Callithrix jacchus: one gene and its partners. The protein of the gene in region 6 interacts with the protein of the main gene of each other region in a pairwise test. Links are inferred from orthologs where the notes say so. Each region holds a gene or a part of one and is shown on either strand. Other genes may lie near its edges.

Region 1 (3,381 bases), on a different chromosome or scaffold from region 6:
AATAGGCCAGGCGTGGCGGCTCACGCCTATAATCCCAGCACTTTGGGAGGCCAAGGCAGTGGATCACGAGGTCAAGAGATCGAGACCATCCTGGTCAACAAAGGGAAACACCGTCTCTACTAAAAATACAAAAATTAACAGGGCATGGTGGCGCGCACCTGTAGTCCCAGCTACTTGGGAGGCTGAGGCAGGAGAATTACTTGAACCCAGGAGGCAGAGGTTGTGGTGAGCCGAGATTGCGCCATTGCACTCCAGCCTGGGTAACAAGAGCAAAACTCCGTCTCAAAAATAAATAAAATAAAATAAAAAAGCTGGGTGTGCTGGCACATGCCTGTAGTTCCAGCTACTCTGGAGGCTAAGGTGAGAGGATAGCTTGTGCCCAAGAGTTAGAGGTTACAGTGCGTTATGATCACCACTACACTCCAGCCTGGGTGACAGAGCAAGACCTTGTCTCTAATTAAAAAAAAAACAAAAACAAAAACAACCCACCTGTCAGGAGCTCTCATTAGTCACGACTACTCCTACTTTGGTTCAGTACATCCCCACCCTACATACATATGCCCAACACTCACTTCTGGGACCACTCGAGGTTCATGCCAGACTGGGTAGAGAATGCCTGCAACATTTCCTGCTGCTCTGGAGAGAGGGTGGGCACTGGGCTGGAGGAAGGCGTGGGTGCGGGCATAGCGAAGGCTCTTTGGATCTCTTCAGAACTGGCATTCCGCACAAATAGCTCGTCGTTTACAATACACAGCCTTGAGGACAAAGAGCACTTAAAAAGCTGGACAGATATATAATGTCATCCCCCAACATCATTCCTACTCTCAGATTCCTTCAGTATTCACAAGGTTCCCCTCCCACTCTGAGCTATTGTTACCTTTAATCATTTATCTCCTCCCATGGAATCCATGTTTGGAAGGATTATCTACCAAACACACTAGAGTTCTCCCAACACATGGACAGTTCTTAGTCCTTTATTTATCTTCACAACAAATTTAGGAAGTGAATATTGTTTTTTTTTGAGATGGAGTTTCGCTCTTGTTACCCAGGCTGGAGTGCAATGGCGCGATCTCGGCTCACCGCAACCTCCGCCTCCTGGGTTCAGGCAATTCTCCTGCCTCAGCCTCCTGAGTAGCTGGGATTACAGGCACGTGCCACCATGCCCAGCTAATTTTTTGTATCTTTAGTAGAGATGGGGTTTCACCAGGTTGAACAGGATGGTCTCGATCTCTTGACCTCGTGATCCACCAGCCTCGGCCTCCCAAAGTGCTGGGATTATAGGCTTGAGCCACTGCGCCCGGCCCGGAAGTGAATATTGTTAATATAAACTTTCAGATGAGGCAGCAGCCTACTTGCTAGAGGTGGAGCCAGGATGAAAACCCAAACAGTACAATTCCAGAGCCGCGCTCCTACCTAGCTCTTAACTACTATGTGAGCTTTCCCCAATTTCCTGTTGCCTTTCTGAAAGCACCCCGAAGACTGACTCTACCCTCCAATTACCACACTGTTGGCCATGGATTAGGACTGGTATCCAATGTGAAAAGCAGAATATTTACCCTGAATTGGTAGCAGGAACAGCAATGAATGTCCGGGTGAAGGCTCGCAAAGAATCCCGAGACTTTCCATCCACTGCAATGAGAACAAGAGCAACGACACCTTAGGATCACTAGTGGTTTACAAACAGCTTCTTGAATCATGGTCTTATTTGATACGAAGAACACTAGCGGGCCAGACAGGGATGATTAAATGTATAAGGGAAGTAGAGGTGGGGTGAAGGGTTGGGCAGAGAGTACAATAATACTAATAACTACTAACCCACTGATAGCATCTGTGTGCCAGGCCCAAGGCCAAGCACTTTGTAAGTTATTTCATTTTACTTCTATAGCACCACTGTGAGATGGCTATTACCCATCTTACAAATAAATAACCTAAGTCTTAGAGGTAATGTTACTTGTCCACGGCCCCACACAACCAAAACCAGGATGGAAACTAAGAACTGCCTGACTCCAAAGTCTTCCTAATCCCCAGGCTTTTCCAATATCCTGTCAGGACAGGCGGAGGGGAGGCCAAGCCAAGATGGCTTGGAGGCAAAATGGGAGAAGGAGTTCAAAAAGAAAATGGGGCCGGCGTGGTGGCTCACGCCTACAATCCCAGCACTTTGGGAGGCTGAGGCGGGTGGATCACGAGGTCAAGAGATCGAGACCATCCTGGTCAATGAGGTGAAACCCCGTCTCTACTAAAAATACAAAAATTAGCTGGGTATGGTGGTGCGTGCCTGTAGTCCCAGCTACTCGGGAGGCTGAGGCAGGAGAATTGCCTGAACCCAGGAGGTGGAGGTTGCAGTGAGCCGAGATCGTGCCATTGCACTCCAGTCTGGGTAACAATAACGAAACTCCGTCTCAAAAAAAAAAAGAAAAAGAAAAAGAAATGGGAGAGAAAGTAGCTGGGAAGCTAAGAGTGCTGAGGTACATTCCAGCTGGGGGTGGGACCATGCTACAAACTCAGGACTTTAAAGATTCTTACCTTCCTTGAAGACCCCATTGACAGAAAAACACAGCAGTGTGCTCTGAAACAGAAGCAGCATCAGGTACAATGTAGACTTCTGAGCGCACCCCAACCATGCCTATTAAATGCCACCCCCATCCCAATTCTAGGCTTCTGTCAGGGCACAAGCAGGAGCTTACTGTCTGGGCGCTTATGTCTACCACGAAGGAATTGACGTCGTGCTGCGTTTTGGGCAATTCGTTGAGGAAGGCGACAACATTGAGACGCGTGTGCTTCAATAGCCGGAACCGCAAGGCTGTGGGTAGAGAAAGCTCAGTGGGGCTGCCACATACTCCTGAGTTTTATGATAGATTCCTTCCCATGCCCTTTTCCCATCCTGTTTTGTTCACATCACACACTTACTAGGGTCTTTAAGCTTCTTCACATTTCTGCTATCTTTGAAATACTCGGCCAAGTTGCTTCTGGGGGAATAAGAGGAAAGGACACGGTGTCAGAGCATTGCTGCAGCAAGTGCTGCCCTGTATCTGCTGGGAAACCCTGTGGTACCAGGCAGATTCTGGGATGTGATACTTACCGGGCAGGGTTTTGAGGAATGAAAGGAATGCTAAGGGAACAACAGGCCCCATCATGGTAGGCATCTAGGAGCCCTTGCCGGTCTCCAGAGTCATAAATAGCATAGTACCTGTGGGAAAAACAAAAAAGAAAGCATAGGCTCTGTGGTCTAGAGCCACAGCAGGACCCAGTACCTCCCAAGAGTGAGCTGTGGCTGAGCACGGTGGCTCATGCCTATAATCCCACCACTTTAGGAGGCCCAGGCGGGTGAATTGCTTGAGCCCAGGAGTCTGAGACCAGCTTGGGCAACATGGTGAAACCCTG
Region 2 (3,704 bases), on a different chromosome or scaffold from region 6:
GCAACAGTGAGACTCTGTCTCAAAACAACAAAACAAAAAAACTAAGAGGGCACTGGATTTTAGATGCTGTTACCACAAATGGAAGGTAAATCCCCTAAAATGGGATCTCCCTGAAAGTCTGGCTAATCACGACAGTAATGAAAGGGAAACTGTTGCATTTTACATTTCCATAGGCTACATAGCTAGATATGGCTTAGTTGGGGAGAAAGGAACATGAACCAACCAGAGGGAAGTCTAGAATCCTAGGGAAAAGTAGCATTTAGAAAGGGTTGTACTCCACAGCCCTTACCTCCACTTCATCCCCTTCTGTGATTTCCTTATTATAGTCAGCTGGAGGTGGTAGCCGGACATCTCCAAAAGGAATCTGTCTCTCACTTTGCCAGCTGTAAGAGAAACAGTAATATAAAAAAGCTACTCAGACTGATATGGTTGCCCATTTCTTTACAAAGGGGTTATTGCCTCAGCTGGGCAATTTCCACCTTTCTGGATAATTAGAGACTAAATCCCAGGCCCTCCTCCATAGTGGTGTCTTCCATCTCTTTCTAGACTCTAAATACTGGGTCAAATGCCCCCACCCTCACCAAATTCTCAGCCCTTTCCTCTCCTGGGATCCATATAAGTTTCCCACCCAAACCCTCAGCTCTCCCCACCTATTACATGCCTCATAGGACTCAGCCGCCCCCTCTTCTCCACTCTCCTTCTAGGACCTAGTATGCTGGATTCTCTATTCCCAAGGTCTTACTTGTTTTCAAAGAAGATGGTGACAGAGTCTTCATGGACATCCTTCACAAAGCCCTAGAATGGATTTTAGGAAAAAGTAAAAAATATAAAATGACCTTTTACCTCCACCTTAGCCATCAAGGGAATAGAGACACTGCAAACCCTTAAACTTGAGTTTTAGATAAGGATACAAGTGGTGTAATGAGAGAGCCTGAAAGGCTGCATTGGGGAAACAATATGGGCAGTCACCTAGAAAAAGGAAATTATATTGTCATGGATAGATGTATGTACCACCTGCATCAGAACAGCCTGGAAATCAGTGATCCACTCAGGCTCCCACAGGGGCCTCCCTGTCTGCCTGCCTCCTGTTGTGCTAAGCAGCCTGCCAGAGTTCAATTAAAATACCAACAACATTCAGCAAGGCTAAGAATATCCCATGAGACAGTGTGAGGCTGTCCTGGAACACCTAGAGGACATGAGGATCTGTCAAGAAAGAGAAGGGCCTACCTCCCCAATACAGCAAAAGATCTGAGCAGACTCTCTGCCCTGATGCCTGGGTCCTAGGACAATAGTCAGAACACTAGAGAAGTTCAAAATTTAGAACACAGTTACAGAAGAAATTAGGACTTAAACAAATCCTATATTTTTAATACTAGAATTGAATCTAGAGTGATACTGAGAATTTAAAAAGGATAATAAAATTTATGGAAGACCCCAATCTTGAGATAACGACGAGAGAGAGGAACAGGGATGACTGAACAGCTGATCCATCTACTGTTGTCTATGTCCTAAGAAGGCCAAACCCATGCAGTCAACCCTCCGCTACCAGTTTTTCTACCTTCTCCCTATTTTTCACATAGAATTAGGGATTTCTAATTTTGAAAAAATACAACATGAATTTATTCTTTTTTCAACTGTGCTTTTGATTTCATATCTAAGAAATCTTTGACCAGGCCCCAGTAATCTTTGGGAGGCTGAGGCAGGCAGATCACCTGAGGTAAGTTCAAAACCAGCCTGGCCAACGTGGTGAAACCCCATTTCTACTAAACACAAAAATTAGCTGCATGGTGGTGCATGCCAGTAATCCCAGCAACTTGGGAGGCTGAGGCAGGAGAATCGCTTGAACCTGGAGGCAGAGGTTGCAGTGAGCCGAGATTGTGCCACTGCACTCTAGGCTGGGCAACAAGAGCAGAACTCAAAAGAAAAGGAAAGGAAATCTTTGCCTAATCCAAAACCACAAACGTTTTCTCTTATGTCTTCTTCTTACACTTTTAGTTCTTTATTTTACATTTACATTTACATCTATGATCCATTTTGAATTAAATTTTACATATAAGGTGAGGTATTGATCAAGGTTCTTTCTTAAATTTTTTATTTTTATTACCATTATTTTTTTGAGACAGAGTTTAACTCTTGTTGCCCAGGCTGAAGTGCAATGGCACGACCTCCGCTCACTGCAACCTCTGCCTCCTGGGTTCAAGCGATTCTCCTGCCTCCTGAGTAGCTGGTATTACAGGCATGCACCACCATGCCTGGCTAACTTTGTATTTTTAGTAGAGATGGGGTTTCTCCATGTTGGTCAGGCTGGTCTTGAACTCCCAAACTCAGGTGATCCACCTGCCTCAACCGTCCCAAGTGTTGCGATTATAGGCATGAGACACCACGCCTGGCCTCTTTTTAAAATTTTTTACATATTTTTAAATTAAAAAAAAATTTTTTTTTGAGTCGGAGTTGCACACTGTTGCCCAGGCTGTAGTGAAGTGGCATGATCTTGGCTCAGTGCAATCTCCGCCTCCTGGGTTCAAGCAATTCTCCTACCTCGGCTTCCCAAGTAGCTGGGACTACAGGTGTGTACCACCATACTCAGCTAATTTTTTTTTTTTTTTGTATTTTTAGTAGAGACAGGGTTTCACCATGTTGGCCAGGATGGTCTCGATTTCCTGATGTTGTTTTTTTTTTTTTTTTTTTTATCTTTTTTATTTATTTATTTTTTGCCCAGGCTGTAGTGCACTGGCACGATCTTGGCTCACTGCAATCTCCGCCTCCTGGGTTCAAGCAATTCTGCCTCGACCTCCTGAGTGGCTGGGACTATAGGTATGTGCCACCATGCCCAGCTAATTTTTTTTGTATTATTAGTAGAAATGGGATTTCACCATATTGGCCAAGACAGTCTTAATCTCCTGACCTTGTGATGCATCCACCTCGGCCTCCCAAAGTGCTGGGGTTACAAGCATGAGCCACCATACCCAGTGATCTCCTGACCTCATGATCTGCCAGCCTCAGCCTCCCAACATTTTGGGATTACAGGCTTGAGCCACCTCACCCGGCCTAAACATTTTTTGAAACAGAGACAGGGTTCCGCTATGTTGCCCAGGGTTGGTCTTGAACTCCTGGTCTCAAGCAATCCACCCACCTTAGCCTCCAAGAATGCTGAAACTACAGGCATGAGCCACTGTGCCCAGACCATTTTTTACCTATAGATATCCAGTTGTTTCAGCACCCTTTGTTGAAAAGACTATCCTTTTTGGCCGGGTGCGTAGTTCACGCCTATAATCCCAACACTGGGAGGCCAAGGCAGGACGATCAGCTGAGGCCAGGAGTTTGAGATCAGTCTGGCCAACATGGCAAAATCCCATAGCTACTTAAAAAAAAAAGAGAGGGCCTGGCACGGTGGCTCACGCCTATAATCCCAGTAGTTTGGGAGGCCGAGGTGGGTGGATCACGAGGTCAAGAGATCGAGACCATCCTGGTCAACATGGTGAAACCCCATCTCGACTAAAAATACAAAAATTAGCTGAGCATGGTGGTGTGTGTCTGTAGTCCCAGCTACTTGGGAGGCTGAGGCAGGGGAATTGGTTGAACCCAGGAGGCAGAGGCTGCGGTGAGCCGAGATCGTGCCATTGCACTCCAGCCTGGGTAACAACAGCAAAACTCCATCTCAAAAAAAAAAAAAAAGAGAGAGAGAAATTGTCCAGGCATGGTGG
Region 3 (4,485 bases), on a different chromosome or scaffold from region 6:
GAAGTTTAAAAGCTTCTCTGATGACCCTAAGGGACCCACTGCCCTAGAGAGCTAATGTTTTGATGGAAGTTCCTGCTTATGGGCTGAGGCAAGAACTCTAATGTCCCTCCTACACTCAGGTCTGGGACTGGGGTAAGATGAGTGAGGCACCCACCTTGGTCATTAAGGTTAAGGGGAAGGAAATGCCACTCAGTAATCAAATAATATTTGAACACAATATTTTAAGAAATCAAAATTAACATAAATAATTCACAATGAATAAAATACAAACATTTTCAATAAAGACAGGATCTGTAACTCTGCCCTGTGGAGCCATGTTGGAGCAAAAGATAAAAAAATGATACTGACCCTGCAGGCTACTGGGATTAGCTCTCTGTCCTCCTAACTTCTGGGGCTAAACAGCCCAGCTAACGGTCACCAGAGCGGGGGCTGCTCCCCAACCTCTGCGAGCCCCTCCTGCTGGCAACTGCTGATCCTGAGACCAGTGATGGGCAGGTCCACCTTTGCCCTTAAATGGTTCCAAACAAGGTCACTGCAGTCCTTTAAATAAATTAACCAAAACCATAAGAATAACCACAAAACACGTTTATTAAGTGCTGTTTTACAAATATTAACTCACTTACTCTTCAATCTTATGAAGTAGGTGCTCTTATTTCCTTTTACAAGTGACTAAACTGAGGCACAGGGATTTAATAAGCTTGCCCAAAACTACACAGCGAGGAGGAAGCTACGTCAGGAATCAAACCCAGTCAGTGTGGCCCACAAGTCCATGCTCAAAACCGCTAAGTAAAAAATGTGCCCCCTATTCTAATTTCTGTCTCACAGTGGGCCCAGTCATGGTTTCAACACAGCTCAGCAGAGCAATGCAGCAAATCCAGGTAGCAACACTGAAATACACAGAAAAGACCACCCAAGCAACGAAAGAATAACATCAGCAAACAGAACAACTAATGTGAATCACGAGAACCCTCTGTCTTTATTACACTTGGGGGAAGAAATCAAGTCACGGTGACGGGTTTGATTTCTTCCCCCGGTTTTCACACTGGCAGGTGGGCATCAGCGGATGGTGTACTTGTCCCACTTCTTCTCGGGGTCATAGGGCTCCCAGCGGCTGGCGGGGAAGATGTGCTTGTTCTTCTCGTACCAGCTCCGCAGCACCACCTTGCCCGCGTGCGACTCATCCTTCTCCATGGTGGCGTCGCTGAGCAGCCGCACGTCATCATGCACGTCGAAGCTGAAGAGCGGCCCGCTCTTGCCCCTCGCCCTGGCGATGATGAAGTCGTAGAAGGTGTGGTAGTGCGGGAGAATGAGGTCTTCCTTGATGTACATGAGCTGCTCCACGCCGGCCGAGCGCAGCTCCAGGAAGTCCTTGCGCAGCCCCTGCAGCGCCTTCTTCAGGAACTGCTGCACGGTGTTGCCCTTGCGCACGCGCAAGGTGCGCCGGTGGCCCGAGCCGTCCCAGTAGCTGAAGGTGACCTCCATCTCTTCGTCTTTCACCTTCTCGCGCTGTGCCTCCCACTCTTGGCGCAGCTCTTCTCGGAGCCGGTTCTCCTCCTCCTCGCGGTCGCGGTCTGGCAGGAAGCTGGTGTCCACGTCGGGGTCCTTACCCAGGTTTCCGGGGCGCCTGGCCTCGGCCGTGTCAGCCGCGTCGGCCTGGTCATCGAGGTCGTCGAGCGCGAAGGACAGGCAGGAGATCTTGCGCTTGCGCTCACGCCGCTGCTCCTGCTCGCGCAGCCGCTCCTGCTGCAGCCGCTGCTGCTCCTGCTGCTGGCGCTGTGCCAGCTGCCGCTCGCGCTCGCGGACCAGGGCCTCCTGCCGGGCCTTCATGTCATTCAGGGTCACCAGGCCCACCGTGCTGGACTTCAGCTCGGCCTCCACGGCGTCGTAGTGCGCGGAGAACTTCTTGTCTACCTGCGACTTGAGGATGGTCTCCTCGGCGATGCGCTGCTTCAGCACCTCCATCTGCTCCCGCTGCTTCTCGCGCTTCTTGAGGAGGTGCATGGCGCGGCCCGCCTCGCGCATGGTGCCCTTGTACTGCGCCATCGCCTGCGCCTACCCGGTGGGCTCTGCAGCAAGGTAAAAAATGCAGAAGGTATAGAGGGGCTCGCGCAACAGCAGGGAATGCGTAGCAGCGCCTCCTCACAGGGCTTTCGGCCGTGAGGGAAGCGTTCCGGGGCTGGGCCGCCCTGCTAGGGTAACCACCAACCTGGCAGTGTCGCCACGCACCAACAAATGTAAATGCGAATGGCCACACGTAATTGGTGGCTGCCACGCCAGAGCGCAGCGCTGAATTTGGGGAGCGGCATACAGAGACGGTAGGCCTACAGAGCGGACCCTTACCTGCTCAAGCACTCGGTCGAGCGGAGACACGCGGGAGTTGAGCTCCAAGAGAACCACCCACGAGCAGAGGCCCACCCGTGCCAGGTTCCCGTGACAGACGCAGACACAGGAAGTGGAGGCGGTGCCCCCTGGCGGGGAGGCGGGCCCTGAGGAGAGCACCAGGCTCCTGGTAGGGCAGCTGCGGAAACAGGAAGTGGAGGCGGCTCGCCCCCTGCCGGGGAGGCGGGCCCTGGGGAGAGCCCAGGCTCCTGGTAGGGTCAGTGCTCCTGAGGGGCGGGCCAGCGCAGGGAGGAACCTGGCGAAGGCGCCTCTGTTCCTGTCCATCCGAGGCTGCGTGGGCTACTGTTTACGTGCTGTGGGCAGCGCGCCTGCCCAGACATGCAGTGCGTGCGTGCTGAGCCTTCTCGTGGCCAGTTGCAAACACGCAGAAGCAATGTGGGCGCAGCTCAGGGTGCTGTCGCCATCCAAAGAGGCTTGCAACCGCCTTGCAAGGCTGAAGCCCTACTCTCCAACCCTCCTCCTCCGGTGTCTCCTCCTGCCTCTGACTCTACCCCACCGAGACCCTCCCGTGAACATTACTTGCGCACCACTGCTTGTATTCGTTCTTATGGCCCCAACACAACAGCCATTCTTTGATAGTAGAATCCTACTCGCCCCCCAATTTCATGACAAAACCTACTCTGAGATTGTTTGACCTCCTTTACGGCAGTTTCCCCCAAATTCTAGGCTCTAATAACCATGGGAAACTGAGTTAAAGTATAGCAGTGTCTTTACTGTAAGCATTTAACATGCCAGTTTCCGCCGTAACTCTCCAAGAGCAAAGGAAACCAGTGCATGTTTTGTGACCGTCTCTCTCTTCCAGGAGATCTGGTAATACTGAAACCGGTACTTCATGAGACCTAGTTTGGAAAAGCTGGTTGTGAAATATATGCCTGCGGTTCTGCCTTCTCCCGTCTAATAGCAACAATGCCTGTGAACATAACCTTACCAAGAAGCCTGAATCATATGATAAATACATATGGCACCCACATATCCAAAGGAGCATAGATCACGGTATGAGCACTCATCAAATTGTCCAAACCAGAAACCTAGGCGTATTCCTGGAATGACGTTCCTTCACATGTAATCAGTTACAGAGAAGCCTTTCATACTTTTCTTTTTCTCTCATTTCCCCACCACTTGCCTTAATCTAGGAAACTGGCATCTGATGTTTTTCTTTTCTTTTCTTTTTTTCATCTAAAGCCTTGTCATTGTTGCCCCATCACCAGAATACAAGCATATCTCATTTTATCGAGCTCTTTGGATATTGTGTGTTTTGGTTTTGTTTTTACAAATTGAAGGTTTGTGGCAATGCTGCATCAAGCATCTGTTGGCTCCATTTTTCCAACAGTGCTGTGCTCACTTTGTGTTCCTGTGTCATGTTTTGGTAATTCTTGCAATATTTCAGACTTTTTCATTATGATATCTGCTGTGGTGATCTGTGATCAGTGATCTGTGAGGTTACTGTTGTAATTGGGGCATGCCGAAGTGTGCACATAGAAGATAAAGACATTTATTGATTTAATCGATAAATGCTGTGTATGTTCAGACTGCTCCACTCACTGGCTGTTCCATCATCTCTCTTCCTCTCCCCAGGCTTCCCTAGTCCCTAAGACACAACAATATTGAAAGTAGGCTAATTAAAAACCCTACAATGGTCTCTAAGTGTTCAAGTGAAAAGAAGTGTCACACATCTTTCACTTTAAATCAAAGGCTAGAAATGATTCAGCTTAGTGAGGAAAGCATGTCAAAAGCCAAGATAGGCCAAAAGCTAGGCCTCTTTTGCCAAACAGTTAGCTAAATTGTGAATGCAAAGGAAAAGTTATTGAAGGAAACTACAAATGCTACCCTGGTAAACATATGAACGATAAGAAAGCAAAACAGCCTTATTGCTCATGTGGAGAAAGTTCTAGTGGTCTGGATAAAAGATCAAATCAGCCCTAACAAGCTCTTAAGCCAAAGCCTAATCCAGGGCAAGGCTCTAAGTCTCTTCAATTCTGTGAAGAAGTAAGGAAACTTCAGAAGAAAAGTCCAAAGAGGTTGGTTCATGAGTTGAGGAAAGAAGTCATCTCTATAACATAAAGTGCAAGGTGAGGCAGCAAGTGC
Region 4 (4,195 bases), about 83 Mb from region 6:
TGGGTAACAAGAGCGAAACTCTGTCTCAAAAAAAAAAAAAAAAAAAACAGCCTGGCCAACATGGTGAAACCCTGTCTCTACTAAAAATACAAAAATTAGCCAGGCGTGGTGGTGGTGGGCACCTGTAATCCCAGCTGCTCGAGAAGCTGAGGCTGGAATATCACTTGAACCCAGAAGGTGGAGGTTGCAGTGAGCTGAGATCGCATCACTGCACTCCAGTCTAGGTAACAGAGCAAGACTCTGTTTCAAAACAAAAAAAGAAAAAGTTACTGTGAAATTCTATGAACATTCATTAAAAGCACAGGATTGGTAGGGGTGGTAAAGGAAACTCACTGTGTCTAAGCTTCATCATGACGACCAGCTTGAAAGCAGGTTCAAATCTGCTTGCTCTCTTCCTGTCAGAATGGGAGAAGCAATTTGAAGACAGCGGGGAACCACAATGCCACAAGCCTTCACCTAAGTCCCCTAAAGGTAAAATGTTAAAGCACATTATGAAGAAGCCATAATAATTAGGAAAACTGGGAGAAGCTGGAGCTAGAGCCTCATATGGCTGAGTCCACACAGGGAAGGGAGTCCACACTACCCAAAGGGAGGGATAGGTCTCAACCTCATCCCGGGTGGAGTCAGTGCCTCAACGCATCAGATGGGGCCTTTGGTCCTTATTCCTCCACACCGTAGTGTTAAACCCTAGGTAGGAAACTAGTGCTAAACCCCTTCACACTGAGGGGAAAGGGGCATGCAAGGATGGTCCATTTCTACATGGGCCAATAATAGTGCCTCTTTTCCCAAGTAGGGAATTCTATATCTCATCTACCTAGGAGAGATGGTGGAGAAGGGGGTAAATAGATCCCAGGAGTCTACCCTGGGGAAAGGGGGCCTGAGAACAGGGATTTTTACCTGCGTGTCTATATGGACTGAGATAAGTACAAAATCTTGGAGGAGGGGGTAAAAAATCTGTGCCTGCATTTGCCTGGGGTCTATACCTTGGTGACTTGAGTTGGGGGGATTACCAACTGTCCCTCTACTCGGGTACAGAGAAACTGGGGAAACTCACAAAGTGGCTGTGTGCATCTCTGCTACATGGGAAAAGAACCACAGATCTGTTTATCTCTAGATTGTGGGGATGGGTCCTGGGTCTCTTTACCCTGGAAAGGGCTGTAGGGCAGGATCGATATGCCTGACACCACAACAATGAAGCTTTGAATAAGTGGGTCTGCACCTTACCTTCAGTGAGTTATTCTGCACCCTTCTGTGGGAAGTAGACTGTGACAGCTTTCATCTTTTATGCTGATTGAAGTCAGCAGCACACTAACACTGAAAGAAATAAGGCCTCTGGTTCTCTGCATGGGTGGTGTGTGGAGGGGGCAGGCAATACAGCTATAAATTAATAGATCAGCCCTAATACTTGGGGGCAGGAGGGGGGATCAATGATTCTACCCTGGGTGGTGAGAAACAGATCTGAGCTCCACTACGTTGGACGAAGGGGAGAGACCATATGCACTGCACTGCCAGGTAATGAATGATATCACTGCCTCTCAACATTACAGGGAGGGGGGCATGCATCGCTGCTCCTGTGGGGTATCTCACTTGCTACATTTAGTGATTCTAAATCCTTGGAGGAGGTTGGGGGATGATGTGTGTCTATGTCAAAGGGAGAGGAACACATCTGAGCCCCTCTACCTCCATGGCACCTCAAGGGGCAGACCTGACTGTCTCTTCATGGATTAAGGTCTGTTCCTGCTTGCTTCGAAGCACTTTGGGTGCCTCAAAAAATTACACATTCGGGGGCAGGCATGGTTGCTCACGCTTGCAATCCCAGCACTTTGGGAGGCCAAGGCCGGTGGATCAAGAAGTCAGGAGATCCAGACCATCCTGGCCAACACAGTGAAACCCTGGCTCTACTAAAAATACAAAAAAATTAGCTGGGCGTGGTGGCACACGCCTGTAGTCCCAGCTACTCAGGAAGCTGAGACGGGAGAATTGCTTGAACCTAGGAGGCGGAGACTGCAGTGAGCCGAAATCGCGCCACTACACTACAACCTGGGCAGCAGTGCGAGACTCCCTCTCAAAAAAAAAAAAAAAAATACACATTCGGTAAAACGGGGGCTACGGAGGTAGGGATCAGATCTGATTTTCCGCAACAGGGACTCACTTTAACCTAAGAGGAGGAGGCAATAGGCTTAGTTGTCCACAACTGTATCTGCAACCACTTTGGGGATGCGTGAGTTGGGGAGTGATACTGAGGGCTGTAGGTCTACACGAATGGGGAGGAGCTGCCCTCCACCTGTGTATTAAATGTTTCTGAGCTCCTCTATACTGGTATGGGGACAGATACATCAAAGCCTTGGTCTGTCCAGAGGTCGGAGGTGCCTCGAGGCGGCTGTCTAGAGCCAGGCCAAGGAAGTGCCTTAAACCGGGAGAAGTCTGCACTGCTCAGCTGAGTGGAAAGAGATGTCTCTATACATAAGATTGGGGTGGATGTCCCCTATGCCTTCGGTGAGTCGACTCCTGTGTATACAGGGTTAACGCAGAATGGAGCCTCACTATCTTGAGGACGATCAACGCTTCACCACACAAGTGAGGTTTGTGCCTCTCTACACAGTGTGTCCCGGATTTACACCTTTCTAGATGCGATGCGGCAATGCCCCTCTCCCAGAGAACTCCACCCCGCGAAAAGGCAATTCGGCGCGTCTCCACGTGTGCTGCGATCCCTGCTCCTCTGCTGGGCCCTTGTAGCCTAGAAAGGATCCGGCTGTTTACCTCTCTATTCCAGGCTGGCGGGCATTTGTGGTTTCACCTTCAATACAGGATCCTAACTGCCCAGTCGTCTACGTGAGCGCACACCGTGAGAAAAGAGAGTAGTTTCTTACCTATACTTCCGGCGGGGATGTGAGAAGAAACAGCCACACGACAACTCGGTTGCGCGAGCAAATGCTCAGGCGCAGCTAGGCTCAGACTTCCGGATCCTAGGCCGGCGGCGCCCGACTCCGCCCACTGTGCGTTCTCCTCGGGGGGCGGGCTTCTGACTGACAGCTCGCGCCCGCCGGTCCCTTCCTCGCTACCACGCTGGCCCCGCCTCCTGGCTGCCCCATAGTTAAGGAAACAGCTGAGGAGGTAGAGGGAGGACAGCGAAGTGACAGGAAGAAGCGGCGGGCCGACTACTGCGGCCATATACCCTACTTGCAAGTCAAAATTTTGTCTGCGGGGATCTGTCTGGGGTTAAATATGCGTACTTCCAAACCTCAGTAACCAGGCAGGCACCATGCCCGAATCAAACAAGGGTGGGGGATGATGTCTTTGTCTGCATGGAAGATGGCGTCAGCAGGGTGTAAGAAAATGGCCGCCTGGGTCACATGTCTGGCCGAGTATTCCCCACCTAAAGTGAATGGTTAGCTGTTCCCAACGACTTTCCCGGGTCCTTGGGCCCCAGACACTCCCTGAGCACTCCCAGCTCTTTATGCGTAAGTTCAGATCTATGGCCAGACCCGACCCGAAATGGAGCAGCACAACTAGAAGCCTCTCCCACCCGTTTGCCTTCTTCCCCTCCTACTCCATCCTTCCCTTAATCACGGAGCAGCGCCTGCAGAAGGGAATGAATTTATATCTCTGGACTGGGGCAAGTAAGGGTTTCTGAAACCATCTCAAGGAGCTAGCTGGGAAGTAAGGTCTCCCCTAGAAAACAGTAAATATTAGTCTGAAATGCCTCTTTCCTGATGGTTTCATTCCAGCCCCTCCTCTTCCTCAAACCTAAACTGTGGGGTGGGGCACAGAGTAGGTGGGACTGTGCCTGTGAGGGTGGGTTTCTTTCTCCACTTCAAGCATGGATGGGCTGAAAAGGACTCCCTCTATCCCTTTACCCCTTACATAAACAGGACTCACTACCTCTCTACATCTTTGGAGGGTTTCTAACCTCTCATCCTAGAAACACATGAAATTCCGCTGGACCCCAAACCAGCCCTGACCACCTTCACCTTTACCCCTGCATTGGCAAATTTTTTCTGCTTCCTTAAGACTTAACTCTTGTCACTTCTATGAAACCTGCCCTGACTTTCCCAGATGAGTTAGAAACCCAGAGCACCTTGCCTATGCAGCTAAGCTAGCACTTATCACTTAATATTGTAGTTGTTTATGTGGCTGTGTCTCCACACGAGAGTGAACTCCCTACAGGGGCTATGTATCTTCAAGCCTTCAACAA
Region 5 (3,704 bases), on a different chromosome or scaffold from region 6:
GGGAGGATCACTTGAGCTCAGAAGATTGAGGATGCAGTAAGCCGTGATTACACCACTGCATTCCAGCCTGGGCAACAGAGAGAAACTCTGTTTCAAAAAAAAAATAATAGTAATTTAAAAAACTTTTTTGGCTAGGTGTGGTGGCTCATGCCTATAATCCCAGCACTGTGGGAGGCGAACGCAGGCAGATCACTCAAGGCCAGGAGTTCAAGACCAGCGTGGCTAACATGGTGAAACCCCATCTCTACTAGAAATACAAAATTAGCCAGCATGGTGGCACATGCCTATAATTACAACTACTTGCACGAGAATCGCTTGTACCTAAGAGGCAGCGGTTGCAGTGAGCCGAGATCGTGTCACTGCACTCCAGCCTGGGTGACAGAGTGAGAGTCTTTATGTTTAAACAAACAAACCTGTTTCATTGTTTCAGAGACAGGATTTTGCTACGTTGCCCAGGCTGGATTCAAACTCTGGGGCTCAAGCAATCCACCCACCTCAGCCTCTGGAGTAGCTGGGTCTACAAGGAACATGTTACTGTGCCTGGCTTCCTCCTTTTTATACTAAAATTGACCCCAGAATGAAAGTCAAACAAAATTTAAGTGGTCTAACTTTAAGCACAGGAATACAGGACAGACCAACTTCTACTGACCTAATTTATAGGTTGAGGAGTTACTACTAGTGATGGTTCAGGGCCTTATCTTCTTTTTTAAATCTTCCTCTCTATCATCTTGTAGGTTCAGGGTCAAAAGAAAAAAAAAACCCCTTACTGGAATTAAAACTGAGTAAAGAAAGGAAGGCAAGGAGACTATATCCAACTACAGAGACACACTGCTTTGAGAAGAAACGACTTTTTTTCACTCCCTATCTGCCTAGAAGTGCCTTGCTCTCCATCTTCTAAACAAAAAAGTGAATAGAAGTAATGTAATTGGAGGCTCAGACTTGAATGCTGAACCACCCAGAGAAAAGATGGGCCCTGAGCCCTTCTGTCAGTGAAGACCTGGTAAATGCTTAACAACTGATCTTCCAAAGGAGGACAGGAGGAAGAGCCCAGGTGTGTGGCATCTGCTGATCTCCGGAGCTTAAATATTCTGATTTCAAGCTACCAACATCACATTACTGTTCAGAGTTGGGAAGAGATGTGCAGTAACAGATAAACACATTATATCATATTTCCACCAGATAAAAATAGGCAAATATAACAAGCAAATACAATAGGCAAAAATAACCTCAAGAGCATAAATATAATAAAATGTAATAATGAGGAAGTAATACATTTTGAGTTTATGTTACCCACTTTTAGTCTAATATATTTAATTATAAGTTTATATAATTTAATTGTAAATAACAGCTTTGTTTAACAACCTGTTTGCAAAATTCCTGAAAATTTGACAACTGGCTTGTGCAAGTCGGTAGAAGGCAGCTCCAGCACAGCACTGCATCTCACACACAGGCCTACCTGATGACATGATTAATGATGATAGGCTCTGGTGGCATAAGCAAGGCATGGAGCCGCTGAGGGATCTCTGAAAACTTCATACGTTGAGACTCAAAGATCTGTAGCAAAGGGCAGAAGCACCTGAGGTTAGCATTTTGAGTATAACTAGTAGTCTTAATGGATTCTAGCAAAGCAATGTGTCCATTACTTACCTGCTGCAGGTACTTGTCACAGATGACAAACTCCCGCTCATGAGGATCCTGGAGCTTATGTGTCTTAATATATTGCCACAGTGCTTGGATGATCACTGGACGAGTCTGGGTGTGGATGCCCAGAAGCCGAGCTAGGCGGGGGTCTAATTTAAACTGGGGAGGCTGCAGGGAACCAAAGGGTATATGAAGCCAGTTAGCTGGGTCTATATGCAGTAATACATTCAAGCCATTCAACAAACAATGTAGAGATTTCTCTGGGACAGAAACATTCTAGGAAGAACTCAGAGATCACTAAGACTCTTATCTCTATGCCAAAGTGACAAATTATTCACAATTAGACGTAAACCCTTTAAGGGGAGACTGCTGACTGGATGTGGCTGTGAAAGCTGGACCCCCTCACACCACCACAGAATACCTGGTAATCCAGCATCAGTAGGACAGTACACCGTACATTCACATCTCCCGGTCGCTTCACCTGAAAGCCGTCGGTCTCCTGGGTAGTGGCGGTCCTGTGCCACTACAGAGAGGAAGATGTCAGGGGGTGCTCTCCCAGAGGAAGAGCTGGGGTGGGAGGGAAGAGCTTCTGTAATGACTGAATATTCAACTTTGATTATTGAGGCTACTGGAGAAGAGTAATAGCAATAGCATGAGGCATTTTTAAAAACTGCATATGGCTTTGGGATTACTGTCTGTGTATAAGTAGATTAACCTTTTAATTCTGTTTGTGGTTACATTCAATTAAGCCTGAATGTCCAGTGATAATTTTATCCACAAAATGGCTAATACAGATGTGAACAGTAACATAACATAGCTATCATTTACTGAGTACCTGTGCAAGAATATTCTAAGACATTTACCTGGATTATCACTTTCCAAACATCTATACAAGATAGGCACACTTATGCCTGTTTTACAGATGAGAAAACTAATGTTCAGCAGAACAAAGTAACCTGCTTAGGTCAAACAGCCAGTAAGTGGTGGAGCTGCGATCTGAGCTCTGGTGTGTCTGATTCTACAGTCCACATTCTTAACCACTATACTCTATTGCTATAAAATTAAGTTAAATATATTTACAAATTTCTATTGATTCTATGACTTACTTCCCTTATTAGGTGGTAAAGACCTTTCCATGTCTCTTAGTGGTTGAGGTTAAGGGGCTGCAGCTACACTGGCAAAGAAAGGAGCAGGTTAAATTCACTTGGAGTGCTGGCTGGACTATCATTTGGTTTTGCCTGTATCCCAAAGAATACTGTTGCTAACATGGGCTTCAAAACGGCGTGCAATCAGGCATCTTAATAAAGGATTTTTGGTGAATTGGAATGTAAATCTAAATGGAGCAGAGACCAAGAGGAAGTTCCTGATGGTGACCCTGGCAAGTACTAGTACCCTATCAGTCAATCCCTCTAATTACAGCAACTGCTACCAGGAAAAAGTATGATTGGTGCATGGATAACTACGTCTCACCATCATTAGCAAGCAAGATGCAGAGATGGCCTGGCATGTACAAGAGGCCACCAGTAAAATTTCCCTTGAAAGAGGCCGCAGTGACCAGCATAGTAACATTAAAAGATGAGACGAGTTAGATTACAAGAGCCCTTGGTCCTAACTAAACATGCTAGTGCCACCTAGAGGTCAATGTGCAAACCGTATACCTGGAGTAGTACTGTGTACACCCAGAGTGACTACTTTCTATCTCCCCTTCTTAGACATTCAAATATGGCTCCCAAGTCCATCTCATCCTTCAATCAGAGTCAAAGCCTAGAAGGCAGACTACTCACTTCTACCAGATGGTTGTCTGGCCCATACAGGTCTTTGTCCAGTTCAATCACCAAGGACTTAAAAAAAGAAGAGAACTTCCTCTTTTGTTTAGTGGCATCATATTTGGACAAGGCTGACTAGAGGAGAAAAAAGAAAAATCATGTTAGAAACGGCCAGAAGAAACTTCCCAAGACAAAATCCTATGAAAAAGGAACCCCAACAGCAATGGGAAAAAACTCAAAAATATCTTCTGAATATCTCTTAGGAGAGACAGGTAGGCTTCTGCAGGTATTAAACCA
Region 6 (3,568 bases):
GTATTTTTAGTAGAGACGGGGTTTCACCAGGTTGACCAAGATGGTCTTGATCTTTTGACCTCGTGATCCACCCGCCTCGTCCTCCCAAAGTGCTGGGATTAGAGGCTTGAGCCACCGCGCCCTGCAGAAATATTTGTTAAGATCAGGGTTTATCTTTATGGGTACACGTGCCCAGGATCCAGGATTTAATGTTAGCTGGAGCATCTGAGAGTGACATAAAAGCAATATACTATGTTGGCTATTTGGAGCCTGAACTCAGCAGCTACACATAGGCAATAAGGATTAAGGGGCAGAACTTCCCTGGTACAGTGTTAAGGAATCTGAAAGCTCAGATAATTGGGAGCATTACATCTCTCTCTCTCTCTCTCCCCCCTCTTCCAGGTTTATGACTGTTGTTATGGTCTAATTATTAATACTGCCTCTTTGCCATCTGCTCAGCCAAGCCTTACCCATGCCATTCTGGAGGAACCAGAGGACATACCCTTTGCCAGGGCTTTATGAAATACATTGGTGAAGGGAACATCAGAACACTGACAGAGCCCTGAGGTAGCTGTCGCCAACAGCCTGGAGATGACAGCGGGGAACCCTGATTTCCATGGGAATAATGGTAGACAGAGTGACAGTGTTGGAGGCCAGTGACAGCACTTAACCATTAAAAGACAATCATTTCTTTTTTTTGTAGTGCTTGATATTTATTGAAAATAATGCCAATGCTTTTTCCAGGTAGTATTGAGGAGCTGGGCTGAGTGCTTGCTTTGTTCTTAGTATTATTTGTCCAAATGCACACATCTGGGGGACTGCTGCAATTTTGAAAGTAAAGTGACAGCTGTGTAAAACCAATGCATAGGAAAAAAGAAATGTCAACAATTTGGCTGCCAGGCACACCAAGCCCCTGCAGCAATCTGGTGGGGCATGGGAGGACCCTCAGAGTGGGTAGAAAACTAACCAGGCTGAATGATTGGCCCCTTCATGGGTTGGTGAGCTGTCCGAATCAATGTCCGAAGAGGTATAGCCAACTCTGGCATCTTCCAGGTTGGTCCTTACTTCGAAAGGCGGTAGTATGTAGGTGGGATGTGGTGAGTGGATGTGAAGTGGCAGCATAGTTCTCTGGGCAGATGTAAGCCTGGCAGTAGGGTAGGTGGCAGCAGCAGGGCTATGGGTGGTATGACCAATTTATAATGGGGGCATGGCCAATAACTGGGGCTCAGGACACAGTTCGGATTAGCAGGGGAGGGATTCAGGGGCTGGCCAGGGTAGATGACACTTCCAAGCATTTCCGAGTGAGTGAGGCTTCAGCCCCAACCCCAGCAGCAGGTAAATGGAGCACTATTCCTGGAACAAAGACAAGCACTACGGAGAAACGAAGAGAGAGAACTGAAGGGCGCGAGTAGGGAAGGGGACCAGAGGGCAAGGCGGAGAACAGTGGCTCCCGGCGGGGTGAGGGCTGGAGAGAGGGGGTGGCGGCGTGCAGGGCCCTCCCCGCTAGGCCTGAGGGTCTAAGGCCTAGTAATCATCCTCTTCGTCGTCGTCGTCGTCTTCATCGTCATCCCAGCCAAAGCACTGTTTCATCTCATCGAGGAAGGCCCGGTAATCACCTAGGATGGGGCTATCCATCTCGATGTAGGGCACCACCCACTCCTCGGCTTCCCCGGTGAGGAGGCTGATTAGGAATGCCACCTTCATGGCGTCGTTGCAGAATCGGTTCTCGTTCACGAGCATGTAAGACGCCGTCTGCACGATAAACTCGGGGAGCCGGGAACTCTCGCCATTAAACGTTTCGGGGAAGGGCACCGGGCAGCTTGGCGGACGTACCTGGCGCAGCAGGCTGGCCCTCTCGCACACCAGCAGCCGCAGCTGTTCCATGAGCTGGCTGTTCTCGATGCTCAGGGCGCGGTGCCGCATCAGGAGCGCATGCAGCAGCAGCACCAGCTCATCCACCATGGCGAACGGCTTGGAAGTACAGGGCTCGGCTCGGTGCGGCTCGGTGCGGCTCGGCTCGGACAAGGTGCGTACGGAGGCCTCGCAGGAAGTGCTTGTCCACCAAGGCGCGCGAGGGCCAGGGGCGGGGGGCGGGGGGGCGGTGCGGTGCGCGCCGGAGTCCGGGAGGCTACGCAAGCCCCGCCCACGCGGCCTTTCGGACGGACGGTGCGCCGGCGCGGCGCGGGAGGGGCGTGGCCAGGCGAGGGGCCGCGGAAGCGTGGGGGCGTGGCCGGGATGGGAAGAGTGTAGACACACAGGGCTTGGCTAGGACTAGGATGCGCTGGGTTGCTGAACCACCGGCTTGTCGTAGCCCTCTAGGCGGGCAGTTAAAGGCTGCGGTCGGCTGTCAGAGCTCCTGGATGTGGGGCCTGAATTAGCAGAGGACCTGGCGAGCGCTGAATCCGGTCTCAGAGAAGGTACACTTGTTCAAGCTGAAAAGATTAACCACTCTTCTACCTAGCCAACTCGCACAACTCAGTGTTCCTTCGTGGGTCTGTGGCCACTAAATTCTCTTGGCGCGATGTTTTATTAACACATTTTCTTTCTTGTTTAAATCTCACTTAGCGAAGTATTGACACTGCTGGCTGCACTGTGGAAGTCACACTTCCTTTCAGGGTCATGAAGACCCTCAGGGGGTCCTGCCTTTCATGAAAAAGGCAGTATTTAAACAGTGACTTATTTAATTGGGAAATAATATGATATACCTACCTTAAAAAAAAAAAAAACCTAAATAGCAAGATATAAAAAGTTCTGCAAAATCAGCATCCGATAACCAATTGCAGGCATCCCACACATTTTATTCTCTATTTCTTGTTCTGCTACTAGTGCCATTGGCCACTGGGTATTATTCTCTACTTAAAAATGAACTGTGAAGATGTGAGTGTTTATAAATAATTTTCTTTTTCTACTTTAAATGGATCTCTGATCCTAGAGCTATCATGAATTATTGGCTCTGCTTTCAAATATATTGCCAATTCAATCATGTCTTGCCATTTCTACCACTGCCACCCTGATCCCCACCCAGCCTTTCTTTCTCACACACTGCTGCAACTAATCACTTAGCTTTCGCTTTTTTCTACCTATAGTATATTCTCCATAAAGTAGCCACGGGAATCATTTAAAACAAAAATTAGATCCCTTCACTCCCTTGCTCAAAATCATCCAAGTTTCATCTCAGAATAAAGAGCAAAGTTGCAGCCAAGGTCTACAAAGCCCTTCCTTCTATCCTATGCCTCTTCCCATTTTCTGCTATGCTCTAATCACTGTCCTTGCTGATTCTCACACACGTCAAGTAGTTCTGGCTTTGTAGCCTTTGCACCTTCTACCCCTTCTGCCTTGCAAGACTTGTCCCAGTTGGCTGCCTGACTCCTTCACCTACTGCTTTCAAAGAGAACTTTTCTGGCCACCGGACCTATCAGAGAACCCTGTTCTCTGCCACCAATCTCTAACCCTTGACTCTGCTTCATTTATCTACATAACATTTACTGTGCTACTGGCCAACATGTCAAATAGCACTTTGCTCATCATCTGCTTCTATTTTGCAATATATGTGTCAAAGAAACACTGCCTTTGCTACCTGCTGTATCCC
Region 7 (4,504 bases), on a different chromosome or scaffold from region 6:
GCTCTGGTTGGCCTCAACCAACTACATGATCCCTTCCATCCTCTGCCAGTGTGGGCTTAGAATTCTAGGCAAAGACCATGCCCCTGACACTCCTCAGGGAACAAAAGTGACTTCACCTAAAAGCAAAGTCCAGACCTTGTCTAAGAGGAATAGACACAACAACGTTGTGTTTTGACTCTTGGCCCAGGGGTCATGTGCCCGGTCCCCTCTGCTTCAACTGTCACACATACTCCTACTTGCTTGCCTGTCAGTCTCTGCGATTGACAGGGATGGGCTCAAGGTCAGGGACTGTGTCTCCTCATCCTTGGCTCCAGCTTCACACAGACCCTGGCACAGGGCAGCAGGTGCCCGGTCAACAGCCTCCTATGGGAGGTTGAGGTGGGGGTTGATCAAGATGCCGTGGACAGGGCTATGGACCAGGAAGGGTGGGATGGGCTGGCTTGTTTGGCATCAAGCAGAGTGGGGTCAAAATCCTTCCCAAGAAAAATGAGAAAGAAAAATAAAACTTTAACCCCCGCAAGTGACTGAACGGACCCCCTCTTGACCAAGGGGACCCCAGAGAAATCTTGAAAAGTGAGTTTCTGGCCATGGCAGGATGGGAGGTTGCATGCACCCTGTGGTGCCCTGTTCCTTGATAACCTCCACTAGACTTTCTTCCCTAAGAGCTAAACAGAAGCCGGCCTTTTCAAAAGACTCCATGCTGATTTCAACCAACTGCTCCACCCTTTTACGGTTTTGACACAAAAACCCACCAGCATTCTTTCTTGATAAGAGACCACCAGTCATGGAGCGGTTCTAGCCAGTCTGCAGAGGATGCACAGTGAGGGTTTTCATGCCCCCTGCTTCCCCTTTGATGTCAGAGGGCTGAAAATTCCACCCTCCGATCACACTAAGGCCAACACTTTTTTGTACACGGGGCCCATAAGAGGCATGAAGCTCAGCTGTGCATGCACATGTTTCTCCTTTCATAAATACACATGACTCCCCCACAGCTTATTGAATATGTATATTTGGCCACGGTGCTCAGCATACATTTCAATTCCCTTTGCCTCTTCCTCAAAGTATCAGTCTCTGGCTTCTGGCCAGAGGCCATGTTTCCCGGCCTGTTGGAATGGCCACCCTGCAGGCTGTAATCTTTATGAGAAATAAAGCTCCCCTTTCCAAATTAACACCACCACCACCCTGCTCTTTCCCCCACTAGCTGCATGACCCTGGCTAGGAAATGACTTCTTCCCTGAGTGTCTCAGCGTTGATGGAATAGGTCATCCCTGGTTGTCTGAAGGTCAGAGTCCCCTGTTTATTGGGGACCCTCTGGGTGTCAGGTAGCGCACTGCACTAAGCATTCACAAGCAACACCTTACTGAACCTCCCACAAAGCAGGTACCAGCCCCATTTTACAGACAAGAAGCTGAGGTCCAGAGGGGTTCAGGTCCTCGCCACAGTAGGTGGGTGGTGGAGCTGGGACTTCGCAGCCTGACCACGCCCCGGGGTGGCAGTACTGGGCTGTGGGTGGAGAGCAGTGAGCTCCTGTGCCACAATCCCACAATCCCCAGAGCTGGTGAGTACATGCAGGCCCCTCCCCTCTTTGCCCCCACTGATCCAGGAGGTCTGACGGGCCCCGAGAAAGCGACTGTTTTCCAAGCTCCCTGCTCCTCCCCGCCCCACAATGCTGATGCAGGGGTCCAAGGGGTGCATTTCCAGAAACACTGCTCAGGCAGTGCTGTCTACAAACCCCCAGCTGAGAGCTCAGGCATAGGAGGTGAGGGATAATAGCATGAATAGAATTCTACTAACAAAGGAGCAGAGCCTCTACACAGTGCCAGGCAGCGTTCTAAACGCTTTCATTCATATAATTTTCACAACGATTTTCCAAGGTAGTGATTATTATTGGCCCTATTTTACAGGTGAGGAAATGAGGTACAGAAAGCTTAAATAACTTGCCCATTGCCCTACAACTGGTAACAGCTGGTTAGCCAACTCATAATCATAATCATAATAATTTTAAGATCTTTCCCCTGTATCCACCTGCATCAGACACTCTCCTGGGGTGTGGGGAAGGGGTACCCTGGGAGCTTTTACTCAGGGAAGTAGAGATGTGTGTGGCTAATACCAGGGAGCCAGAGAGGTTCGGCTGTCCCCAAGTCTGTCCTAGAGATGGAGAGATTAGGATGCTGGTTTTGCCCTGAGCCCCCACCAGTTTTCTAGCTGCACATCTTGGCTGTGAGTGCCAGGAAGAAGATTGGTGGGCAGTGCCAGCTGAAGCTCCCGGGTAGGTGGGTCAGGGCTCCCACTTGCTGGGTTCAGTTTCCCTTCCCGTGTCCGGGGCCCCAACAGGACGCTTGGGGGCTCCTACCTTCTTCCCCTGGGCTGCTCCCATGGCACGAGGTGGCACCAGGCCTGGGTGGGCTGCAGGGACCAGGCTGGGGTCCTTCCTGCTGGCGTGGATCTCAGGAGCCAGGACCTGAGGGGCTCCCGGGGCCAGGGCCCCCTGTCCTCTTGTGGCTCATTCTCCCCGGCACAAAGGCGGCTTTCACAGCTGCTCCTAAGCCCAGAGCGCCTCAGACAGGCTTAGGGCGATTGATCCTGACAGAGGGGCCAGTGTCCCCAGGCGGCTCCCATGCCTTTCTTGGGTCCCTGCAGCTCCTCACCTCCCAGAACGCTGCGTCTCTCAGGAAGGGAAACTAAGGCAGCTGGGAAAGGGGGGAAGACGCGAGGCAGTCCTCTCATCACACACCGGTAGCTCAGGTGCGGCGGGTGACCTCTGGCTGGCCCTTGCTAGGCACTGCTCAGCAGACAGGGCCAGACAGGGAAGGCCGAGGGCTGGCTGAGGTGCAGAGCTCTGGGACGGCTGCGTGGGGATGTCAGCCTCGGCTGGACAGCCCCATTAATAATAGACCTTTGAAGACTCTTGGGGTCTGGGGCTCTCCCACAGCAGGAACTCTGAGAGCAGACGCCTGGGCAGCAGGCTGCCTGGGAGGGCTGGAGGTCAGCTGGTCTGGGCTCAGGCCAAGAAAATAGCTGAAGGCTGGATTCCAGGCCTGGGGCCAAGTTCTCAAAGTGCCCCCGGCAATCACCCTCCTCCTCATTTGCCAGCCCCTTCCTTCTCTGTGATGCCAGCTTGTAGCAGAGGTTAAGCCTGAAAAAACCTTAGGCTTGAACTGTGGCTCTGCCCCTGACAGCTGTGTGGCCTTGGGGGCACGGGGTGTGTGTGTGTGTGTGTGTGCGCGCGCACGAGCGTATGTGATAAGCACTCCCACTGCACATGGCTAAATGAAGTAAGGTGTGTGTGTGCAGCTGAAGCTATCATTTTGTGTAAGCATAAATCAGAGCATGTCACTCCCTGTTTGTTTGTTTGTTTGTTTGTTTGTTTTTGAGATGGAGTCTCACTCTGTCACCCAGGCTGGAGTGTAGTGGCACAATCTCGGCTCACTGCAACCTCCGCCTCCCAGGTTTAAGTGATTCTCCTGCCTCAGCATCCCGAGTAGCTGGGAATACAGGTGTGTGCCACCAAACCCAGTTGGTTTTTGTATTTTTAGTAGAAACGAGGTTTCACCATATTGGCCAGGCTGGTCTTGAACTCCTGACCTCACGATCTGCCTGCCTTGGCCTCGCAAAGTGCTGGGATTACAAATGTGAGCCACTGTGTTTGGCCATCACTCCCTGTTTTATAATCTGTCGCTTCACTAAAGGTGGGTAACAGTTGCCCCCACTGCCTGGGGCTGTGAGGGTAAGCAGAGCATCTAGCGAACAATTCCTCAGCGAAGTTAGGTGCTGCTGTTAAGAACACAAATGATAAGTCCATTGCCCACTGGAAAGTCCCGGCTAACCAGTTCACTAAGCACAACGCCCTTTCCCCAGAGGTGGGCGGGTCGGGAAACCTTGCCACTCTTTCCTTTCCTCTAGCGCGGTGCCTGGCACACACACAGATGCCTCATGGAACCGTAGCTGGAGGGTCAAGAATTAGGCATTCTGTCCAGCCTTGCCAACAGAACAAAAGCCCCCAGGTCCACAAGGTCTGACAAATGGCCTTGCTAGGACCTCAGTTCCTTCTCCTCCCTCTCCCTGGCAGCTTCTGGGTCACAGCACCTTTCCCCTTCCCAGGGCCTTTGCACTTGCTACTCTTTCTGCGTGGGATGTTTCCTCCCCAACTTCCCCTCTGCTCCTCATATTTCATATTTTGATATTTGCATGATTCTCTCCTTTTTATCTCTCAGGCTCCTCAGAGAAGCTTTCTCTGACACCTTCTGCACAGTAGTTCCCAGGCTCTCTGTTTATTACTTTGTCGCAGCACTCATCAGTGACAAAATGATATGACTTCTGTGTCGATTGTCTCCTCTGCCTGGAATGGCAGTTCCACAAAGGCCAGGGCCTGGTCTGTCCTGCTCCTCAGTTTCCCCCCTGGGTCTAGAGCAATATTAGTGGAAGAATACATGATGGAGGATTAAATGAAGTAGTCTAAGCTGATCGAGTGCTTAGCACAGTCCCGGCTCATCACAAGTGCTCG

Evidence for each region.
Region 1: the proteins of LDOC1 (region 6) and NXF1 interact in binary tests that used the Homo sapiens proteins (3 or more experiments, as listed by UniProt). The two-hybrid records come from large-scale screens. The link is inferred for Callithrix jacchus from reciprocal best matches to the Homo sapiens genes LDOC1 and NXF1.
Region 2: the proteins of LDOC1 (region 6) and FXR2 interact in binary tests that used the Homo sapiens proteins (3 or more experiments, as listed by UniProt). The two-hybrid records come from large-scale screens. The link is inferred for Callithrix jacchus from reciprocal best matches to the Homo sapiens genes LDOC1 and FXR2.
Region 3: the proteins of LDOC1 (region 6) and FAM50B interact in binary tests that used the Homo sapiens proteins (3 or more experiments, as listed by UniProt). The two-hybrid records come from large-scale screens. The link is inferred for Callithrix jacchus from reciprocal best matches to the Homo sapiens genes LDOC1 and FAM50B.
Region 4: the proteins of LDOC1 (region 6) and GNL3L interact in binary tests that used the Homo sapiens proteins (3 or more experiments, as listed by UniProt). The two-hybrid records come from large-scale screens. The link is inferred for Callithrix jacchus from reciprocal best matches to the Homo sapiens genes LDOC1 and GNL3L.
Region 5: the proteins of LDOC1 (region 6) and SMARCD1 interact in binary tests that used the Homo sapiens proteins (3 or more experiments, as listed by UniProt). The two-hybrid records come from large-scale screens. The link is inferred for Callithrix jacchus from reciprocal best matches to the Homo sapiens genes LDOC1 and SMARCD1.
Region 7: the proteins of LDOC1 (region 6) and FAM107A interact in a two-hybrid assay, tested with the Homo sapiens proteins (2 studies listed by BioGRID and IntAct). The two-hybrid records come from large-scale screens. The link is inferred for Callithrix jacchus from reciprocal best matches to the Homo sapiens genes LDOC1 and FAM107A.

Annotation. Positions count from the first base shown.
Region 1 is NC_133511.1:120,075,158-120,078,538, forward strand, and holds part of NXF1 (nuclear RNA export factor 1), read right to left. Parts: intron 3,188-3,381; coding exon 3,080-3,187; intron 2,967-3,079; coding exon 2,908-2,966; intron 2,801-2,907; coding exon 2,685-2,800; intron 2,567-2,684; coding exon 2,524-2,566; intron 1,630-2,523; coding exon 1,557-1,629; intron 756-1,556; coding exon 573-755; intron 1-572.
Region 2 is NC_133506.1:74,103,852-74,107,555, forward strand, and holds part of FXR2 (RNA-binding protein FXR2), read right to left. Parts: intron 796-3,704; coding exon 743-795; intron 384-742; coding exon 290-383; intron 1-289. UniProt on the Homo sapiens protein: mRNA-binding protein that acts as a regulator of mRNAs translation and/or stability, and which is required for adult hippocampal neurogenesis. Specifically binds to AU-rich elements (AREs) in the 3'-UTR of target mRNAs.
Region 3 is NC_133505.1:26,795,993-26,800,477, forward strand, and holds the end of FAM50B (protein FAM50B), read right to left. Parts: intron 2,440-4,485; exon of another isoform or gene 2,341-2,439; intron 2,067-2,340; 5' UTR 2,044-2,066; coding exon 1,057-2,043; 3' UTR 571-1,056; downstream 1-570.
Region 4 is NC_133524.1:54,864,798-54,868,992, reverse strand, and holds the start of GNL3L (guanine nucleotide-binding protein-like 3-like protein), read right to left. Parts: upstream 2,971-4,195; 5' UTR 2,871-2,970; intron 1,315-2,870; exon of another isoform or gene 1,225-1,314; intron 466-1,224; 5' UTR 353-465; coding exon of another isoform or gene 334-352; intron 1-333.
Region 5 is NC_133510.1:69,493,845-69,497,548, forward strand, and holds part of SMARCD1 (SWI/SNF-related matrix-associated actin-dependent regulator of chromatin subfamily D member 1), read right to left. Parts: intron 3,543-3,704; coding exon 3,426-3,542; intron 2,165-3,425; coding exon 2,063-2,164; intron 1,810-2,062; coding exon 1,648-1,809; intron 1,555-1,647; coding exon 1,457-1,554; intron 1-1,456. UniProt on the Homo sapiens protein: Involved in transcriptional activation and repression of select genes by chromatin remodeling (alteration of DNA-nucleosome topology).
Region 6 is NC_133524.1:138,057,618-138,061,185, reverse strand, and holds LDOC1 (protein LDOC1), read right to left. Parts: upstream 2,072-3,568; 5' UTR 1,942-2,071; coding exon 1,504-1,941; 3' UTR 667-1,503; downstream 1-666. UniProt on the Homo sapiens protein: May have an important role in the development and/or progression of some cancers.
Region 7 is NC_133516.1:40,405,082-40,409,585, forward strand, and holds the start of FAM107A (actin-associated protein FAM107A), read right to left. Parts: upstream 2,943-4,504; 5' UTR 2,378-2,942; coding exon 2,354-2,377; intron 1-2,353. UniProt on the Homo sapiens protein: Stress-inducible actin-binding protein that plays a role in synaptic and cognitive functions by modulating actin filamentous (F-actin) dynamics. Mediates polymerization of globular actin to F-actin. Also binds to, stabilizes and bundles F-actin.